Linked DNA regions of Sus scrofa. The protein of the gene in region 2 interacts with the protein of the main gene of each other region in a pairwise test. Links are inferred from orthologs where the notes say so. Each region holds a gene or a part of one and is shown on either strand. Other genes may lie near its edges.

Region 1 (4,242 bases), on a different chromosome or scaffold from region 2:
TCATGGCTCATTCCGTACCATTTTTTTTTTTTTTTTGGTCTTTTGTCTTTGTTGTTGTTGTTATTGTTGCTATTTCTTGGGCCGCTCCCGCGGCATATGGAGGTTCCCAGGCTAGGGGTTGAATCGGAGCTGTAGCCACCGGCCTACGCCAGAGCCACAGCAACGCGGGATCCGAGCCGCGTCTGCAACCTACACCACAGCTCACGGCAACGCCGGATCGTTAACCCTCTGAGCAAGGGCAGGGATCGAACCCGCAACCTCATGGTTCCTAGTCGGATTCGTTAACCACTGCGCCACGACGGGAACTCCCGTACCATTTTTTAAGCCTCAGCCAAAATGTTACTGCCTTGGAAAGGGTGTCCCAGCTCCCCACTGTAAACTAGTCCTCGCTGTCGCTTTTGAGCTCAGCTACTGTTTCCTGCTTATCCCCACACATCGTCATTTGTCTCTTGTCTGTCCCCAGTAGAGTGTGAGCGCCAAAAGGGTAGGCACCACGTCGGTCTTGTTCCCAGCTGTATCCCCAGCACCTAACAGTGCCTGACATATTATAGGTGCTCAGGAAATATTTATTGAAGGAATAAATACACGAATGAATGAATTCTTCTTCTCCCCTGCCCCCTGACCCCAGCTCACTCCATGACTCCACCTCCATTCTTTGCCTACCCTTACCTGCCAGGGGCTCTCCCCCCCCTGGAAGCCCGCCCTCCAGGGCTCCCCCAAGGACCTCATAGGGGCCCAGGGGGGCAGGGGCCAGGGGGAGTTTCCCATAGTCTACGAGCCAGCCCAGCCCGCTAGCTGGGAGCAGGGTCCTGTCCAGCTCCAGCCCCAGGGTCGCCAGGAGTGACATGGCTGCAGCTCGGGTGCGGGGCACAGATGGCAATGAAGGAGGCTGCACCAACAGCTGGCAGGAGGCTCTGGAGATTACTCAGCTGGGCGAAGACGGGCACCAAGGCGAGAGTGGAGGACCTACGAGTGGGAGACAAAAGTGAGTGGGTTAGGGGCCAGCCTCGCCAACGGCCAAGGCCATGGGGAAACCAAGCGATACCCCCTCAGGTCCCCAGGATTCCTTACCTTTTGGGAATTCTACATCTGCCCTTTCTTTCCTCAAATGGGGACCCCACCCATTCCCAAGGGAATTTTCTTTAGGCCCCGACTTACTTTTCCTCAGAATTCCCTAGACCCAATCCTTCCAATATTGAAACATAATGGTGTCCCAGGGGAATTACCTTAAGACCCTCCCACCCACCCCATAATACTATCTCTCATGGAAAAAAAAAAAAAAAAAAAACACAAAAACCTCAATCCCAGGGGAATTTTCTTCCAGCCACACCTCTTGCCCTAAAACATATCCTTTAGGCCCCACCCTGTCCCTAGATTCCTGCTGTGAATCTGTTCCCAGGGGAATCCCCCTGCCCCGCCCCTTCATCAAAATCCTCCATTCAAATCCCATTCTTCCCTTCGAATTTTGCAGTGGTCTCCCGTCCCCCCAAGCCCTGCCCCCTGGTTTATTAGCTCCACCCTCCCCGACGATTCCCAGAGGCCCCGCCTCTTTCTCAATATAAACCCCACCCCCTCAGCGCACGGCGCGCTTAGCCACGCCCCTTCTCCCAAAGGGTACCCCGCCCCCGCCCCACCCTCCGCGACGTCTCTTATCCTAGCTCCCGTCCCTTAACTGGTCGTTTCTAAGCCCCGCCTTCTCCCCCCGCCCCCGCCCCCGTAGTTGCTTGAAAGAAAGGGAGGGAAGACGTGCTTTTACGCCTGAGCAAACTGGAGGGAGGCGGAGGGTGGAGGGGGGCGGGATGAGAACAGCTCCCGACTCCCCCTCCCCCCACCCCCGTACACGGCTGTCTCGCCGAGGGCCAAAGCGCAGGCTCCAGCCCCAGAGCTGTCCTATTGCCCCCGCAAGGCTCCGCCCTCCTCGGGATCAGTGCTGCGCACGTGCGGCTGCTGCTCGTCAGCCCTTTGCTCCGAGATACAAGCGCCGGTGGATCTGAGCAATCGCTGATTGACAGACTCAATCAGAGCGGGGAGGAGGGGGGAAACCCACCCTCTCTGGGAGCTAGTGCGCAGGCGCAAACGCATGTGGTCGTCTTTAAACGCCAACATTGTCTGGAAGAACGCACCCTCCCCCCATCAGCTGAGTGCGCATGCTCCGCAGCGCGCAAACGGAGCGTCTTGTCTCTTCTGCGCCTGCGCGACCGTGATTCCTCACTCTTGTCTCCCCACCCCCCCGAGCCCGGTGGTGAGGGCCGCGAGCTTGGAAAGGGCGGGAAAGACGGTTGGAGAGGGAGGGGCGAGCGAGCGGTTACTCACTCCATGGCTGCGGAAAGAAGAGGCGGCGGTGGCCTCAGCTGAAGAAAGACGGCAGGAGCGGAGAGCGCAGGCGCGGTGAGCACGGCGACTGGCCGGGGGCACAGAGGGGTCGCGGCTACAGAGCCATGGCTGGAGCTACGCGGGCGGAGGAGGTGTCGCGGTACTGTGAGGAGAGATTGTGATCTGAGGATGGGGAATGAGGCGGCCCGGGGGACTGGGGACAGATATACCGGGGGCGGCGCAGCACGGCGTGCCCGGATCCTTCCGCGCCCCGCCCCGCGCTGCCCCAACCGGGAGGCGGGCTTGGCCTCTAGCCCTCGGGGATCCCGGGGACTGTCCCCCACTTCCGACCAGGGCGTTCAGCCCTCCCCTTCCTCTGACCTGAGGATCTGGCCCTGCTTTGCTCCCGACCCCCTGGACCACCCCCACTCGGGTGGGGCCCCTTTCTCCTTCTGATCCGGGGTCCGGCTTTCTGTTCCCTCTCATTCTGGTGGTTCAGCCTCACCTCTTCCCCGATCCCTGCACGAGTTCATTTCTCCTTTCCTTTCTCTTGCTTCACGAATTTCCGGCCAGCCACGTGCTGATCTCTTCAACTGCCACGGCACTCTGAGAACCCTTGTTGTGGCTTAGGATCTGGTTTGAGTCACAGACCGCGCTCCATTCAAATCGCAGACGGGCGCGGGTGGCCTTGGGCAAATAATTTAAATTCTCTAGCCTCGTAGATAGGGAACTACCTGTAAAATGAGAATAATCACCTCTTCCTAGTGGGGTCGTTTGTGAAAATCCGTGCAGTCGGTGTCTGTGAAACCAGCCCTCCTTCATGCCTGGTCCAACCGCTTTTATTATCCATAACAAGGACCTCTGGGGACCAGTCTCACCCCTTCCAACTCCCCTGGCCAGAGCCCCAGACTCGACCATCCAACACCTGCTAATAGATCATTCTTGTGTCTCCTTCGCTCTAGCATCCCTGCCCTCCCCCATTTCAAACGATGGACGCTCAGCCCCATCCTGCTGCCGGGAGCAAGGCATCATTGCCCAGACTCTCGTGTCCATCCCCTGCTGGCTTCCCCTTAGCCCTTATCCTTAGCACGCCTTTCAGGCCCGTTGGTTCATTCTTCTGTCCCTGCCCCTCACCTAGACGTCCTTTCAAATGGTTTTCTACCTCCGTGCACCCCACCCTCACCCCCAGATCAGTTTTCCACCTTTGCCAGACTTAGGGAGATCTGTAGTTCCATTTGCTGAAAGAGATGGGGCTTCCTGGCCAGTCCCTCCCATTACACAGGGCCTTCCACCAGACCCCGTAGACGAGGGTCTTTGCTGCAAGCCCCTCTCCTCCCCCATTCATCCACATCTAGACGTTACACCTGGAGTACAACTTTTCAGGACTTTGGTGGTGGTTATGAGACTGAGTCAAGATCCAAAGGTGGGAGACCCAGATCTTGAGTTACCTGGAATGATACATGGGCCTCTTTTGTTTTGTTCCATGTGCATGTGCTTTTTTTTTTTCCAGTTTTACTCAAGATATAATTAAACTTTATAAATTTAAGGTGTACAGTATAACAATTTGATTACCCATAAGTTTAGTGAACATTTATCATTTCCTGTAGATGTGAAATTAAAGATATAGAAATAGGGAGTTCCCATTGTGGTGCAGCGGAAACGAATCTGACTAGCATCCATGAGGATGCATGTTCAATCCCTGGTCTTGCTCACTGGGATAAGGATCCAGCGTTGCCATGAGCGGTAGTGTAGGTCGCAGATGTGGCTTGGATCTGGTGCTGCTGTGGCGTAAGCCGGCACCTGTAGCTCCGATTCGACCCCTAGCCTGGAACCTCCATATGCCTTAGGTGCAGCCCCGAAAAAGACCCAAAAAAGTAAATAAATAGATACTTAGAAAAAATACATATTTCTTTTTTTCTTTGGCAACTC
Region 2 (3,806 bases):
TGGACCCCAAGCGTCCCCAGAGCAGAGCTTGGGACTTCCAAGACCTTGCCTAATCCTGCCCCCCAACTCTGGTGCTCAGGTCAGGGGCCACTGACATGAACAGGCTTGACCCCTCATTCCAAACCATTCTTTAAGTTAGATGAGGTCCAGCCTCGCAGTTTATACTCTTGACCTTCCAGCCTAAACTCTTGGCTCAGGTCTGGATGGAGAATCCCTTGACCAAGAGGACAGAGCTGCTGGGAGCACAATTCCTAGCATAGTCTGAGCTCTAGGGTCCTGAGTTATGGGAGAGAGGCCTGGAGCCTTTGGCACAGTGATGCTTCCCTTTCTCTAAGGAGGTGCGAGATACAAAGGCAGCTGGGTTGTTTGTGAAAGGGACTGTCCCAGGTCAGAGGTGCCTGGGCACCAGCACGAGTGGATGCTGACACCTGCACTGAGGGAGCCACCCACAGTGTATAGACACTGACCCCTGGACATGGAAAGTGTTGTCCACTCTGCAGGCTGGAGTTCTGTCTCTGTCATTCTCTGTGTTTCCAGTACCCAAATCACGGCTTGGCACAGTGAGCACCCAAAGAGGACCCAGCGAGGCACGAGCTCAACGGCACAGGTGTGCAGAACCATGGGTTGTGCATCTGGCACGCTCCGTGCACACCTCCTCTCTCTCCCTCCCAGAAGGCACTTAAGGTTCAGCTCGGTTCAAAGAGGCGGGAGAGAGCGTGGAGATACCCCAAACCCAACCCGCCGAGTGCGGCTGAGAGTCTGTGCGTTAGTTAGCCATAGAGACCCACATCTCTTTCTGCCTCTTCCGCCTCCTCCGCCTCCTCCAGTCCCGGCCCTTCGGGGACCACCTGGTCAGCCTCCCGGAGGCGAGAGCTTGAGGGAGCCGTGGGGACCGCATTCTGCCGCAGCCAAGGGTGCAGCAGGATGCCCGGGGCCGTGAGCCGTTCAGCGGGCTCCCGACGGAGGAGGCAGCGGACCAGGCAGCGGGCAGGAGCTGAGAGGCCCTCAGGCAGGGCGAAGGCCCCACGGCGGATCTTGCCAAAGAGCAGGACAGGCTCTGAGTCCTGGAAAGGGTAGTGGCCGGCCAGCATGGTGAAGAGCGCCACACCCAGGCTCCAGACGTCCGCCGCCTTGCCTGAGTAGGATGCCCGGGAACTGAGGATCTCGGGGCCCACGTAGGCAGGGCACGCGTGCTTGTCCCACAGGGAGTCGTCAGGCCCCGTCAACACACAGGCGTCGTCCAGGTTCTCCAGCATTAGCTTTGTCCTAAAAAGCAAGGGGAGAAGCAGAGGGGTTCGCTAAAGGGACCATCATGCCACCACCCCACACTGTCACCCCCTTATTGTTTTCTTTTTTAGGGCTGTACCCATGGCATATGGAAATTGCCAGGCTAAGGGTCAAATGGGAGCTGCAGCTGCTGACCTAGCGACAGCAACGCTGGATCCTTAACCCACTGAGCCAGGCCAGGGATCGAACCTGCATCCTCATGGATCCTAGTTGGATTCTTAACCCGCTGAGCCACTATGGGAACTCCCTACCCTGGCACCCTTAATGGCATCTACCTCCCAAATGCCTTCTGGCATTTGCCAGATTGATTGAGCCAGTCCTGTGAGGCTGTGTCATTGATCCCATTTTACTGATGAGGAAGTCTAAGCTCTGAGAAGTTAAGTCATTTCTCAAAGTCATGGAGCAATTACATTTGAACAGGGACTCTGGGAGGAACACATTTCCCAATAGTCCCTGGGGCAGGGGCGCTGAGGGGGCTGAGGGCATTAAGCCCTTCTTAAACCAGAGGCAAACTTAGGGTCAAGGCAGGTGACAAAATGAGAAAAATAGGATATGGAGATTGTGTCAAACACCTCAACATAAATCCTACCTAAAAGGCCCTGCTAACAGCATTCGGCCAATATTTGGAGTGTCCATTGTGTACCTGACCCTGGGCTAAGCTGGTACCTGGCTCATCTCATTTCACGCTCATACAACCTCTGAAGACGATGCCATTTTGCAGCCACAGGAAGCAGGGCTGGGATGTGAACCTCACTCTCACCCACCCAGAGCCAGTGCTATGAGCCACTCACATGGTTCCCACAGTAGCTCTGGGGTCCCATTTTGCCTCAAGAGAAGCCCAGAATCATTTTTAATGACAAAAATCTCAGTTTTTAAAAAGTGGGCAACCAACTTCAATTAAAAACACAAACAAAAATGTAGGTGAAAAAAAAAAAGTGTGTATAGTCCCCATTTGCAACTTCTACTTAAAACAGCTCCCACAGAGCACTCTAGACTACTTTAAGAGTCAGCATTCTATTACCACTGCTATTAATCTTATTCCTATGACACCACTTCCTGGGTGCCTGTCTGAAAACGCTGACCAGTCCTGTGACTCACCGCACAGAGGGTGGGCTGAGGTGTCAGTATTATTGGCTCATTTTACAGATAAAGAGATCAAGGCTCAGGCCAGTGAAGCCATTGCTCAAGGCCAAAGAGCAAGTTAAAAAATAGAACCAGGAGTTTTCTGGTGGTGCAGTGGGTAAAGATCCGGCAGTTGTCACGGCTGTGGCTCAATTCTGTTCTGTCTCTGGTCCCAGAACTTGCACATGCAGCAGGCTTGGCCAAAAAAAAAAAAAAAAAAAAAAAGGGAGAAACAGAATTTGAACCCAGGTCTGTCTGACTCCACTGTCCCTCATTTACCAATGGTGCTTCTCAAACTATTGCCTTGAAAAGAGAAGAAAGCACTTTTTTTAAGGGCCACACCCGCAGCATATGCAGTTTCCAAGGCTAGGGGTCTAATAGGAGCTACAGCTGCTGGTCTACCCACAGTCACAGCAATGAGGGGCCCAGCTGCATCTGGTACCACAGCTCACAGCAACGCCAGATCCTTAACCCATTGAGTGAGGCCAAGGGATCGAACCCACATCCTTATGGACATGAGTCAGATTTGTTACCGCAGCCACAACAAGAACTCCAGAAAGCACTTCGCTCACTTCTGGGAAGTCTGGGGCATTGAACTTACCCTAAACTCAAAATTACCTGAAGCTGAGTATTATTAGCTTAAACATCGTTATAAAATTTACATTTTACTTCTTACTAAAAACATGTTCATTTCTGTATGAAATGTAGAAGGAAATAGAAAACCACCCTTAGACATCATGTGAATAACTGCTACAGACAGAATGGACGGCACTGAAATGAGTGAGTGAAAGTTTGAGGAGAAATAGAATATCCATCCACAAGCAAAGCCTCCATGTACCTCAAGCCAGTAATTCATTGCTTGTAATTAGGAAGTAAATGAGGAAACTTCCAAGGGGAGAAACTCCACACCTTAACTAGAGATTGAGGTTCTGTCACAGAGATGGGTATCAGCTTCTTGTATCTCCAGGTGCAGTGGGCCGAGGAGGCCTTATGGCTTCTGCCATGTTCTTGCCCCAAGTGCATCACCTCCGTCTAACCATGACCAGAACATCAGTCAAGTCCACACTGAGAGGCTTTCTCTGTGGCCACACTCACCTGTCCCGGTCGCTAAAGACGAAGCGCCGCAGCTTGAGGTCCCGCAGGACGAGCCCGTGCTGGTGGCAGTGCGCCAGGGCGGAGGCCATCTGGCGGAAGAGCGCGGCGGCCTCCGGCTCGGGCAGGCGACGCCGGAGGCGCACCAGGCTGTGCATGTCCCCGTGTGGCCGCGGGAAGAAGGCGTAGAGCTGCCGCGTGCCCGCCAGGACCTCCGACGGCCGGGCCACGTGCGGGTGGCGGGGCAGTCGCGAATAGGGCTCCAGCACCGCCAGGGCCTCGCAGGCCGGGTATACCTGTGGACC

Evidence for each region.
Region 1: the proteins of TRIB3 (region 2) and ATF5 interact in a two-hybrid assay, tested with the Homo sapiens proteins (2 studies listed by BioGRID and IntAct). The link is inferred for Sus scrofa from reciprocal best matches to the Homo sapiens genes TRIB3 and ATF5.

Annotation. Positions count from the first base shown.
Region 1 is NC_010448.4:54,943,731-54,947,972, reverse strand, and holds the start of ATF5 (cyclic AMP-dependent transcription factor ATF-5), read right to left. Parts: upstream 2,907-4,242; 5' UTR 2,819-2,906; intron 2,593-2,818; exon of another isoform or gene 2,477-2,592; 5' UTR 2,314-2,476; exon of another isoform or gene 2,133-2,313; intron 967-2,132; 5' UTR 848-966; coding exon 670-847; intron 1-669.
Region 2 is NC_010459.5:34,809,304-34,813,109, forward strand, and holds part of TRIB3 (tribbles homolog 3), read right to left. Parts: intron 3,798-3,806; coding exon 3,505-3,797; intron 1,267-3,504; coding exon 771-1,266; 3' UTR 1-770. UniProt on the Homo sapiens protein: Inactive protein kinase which acts as a regulator of the integrated stress response (ISR), a process for adaptation to various stress. Inhibits the transcriptional activity of DDIT3/CHOP and is involved in DDIT3/CHOP-dependent cell death during ER stress.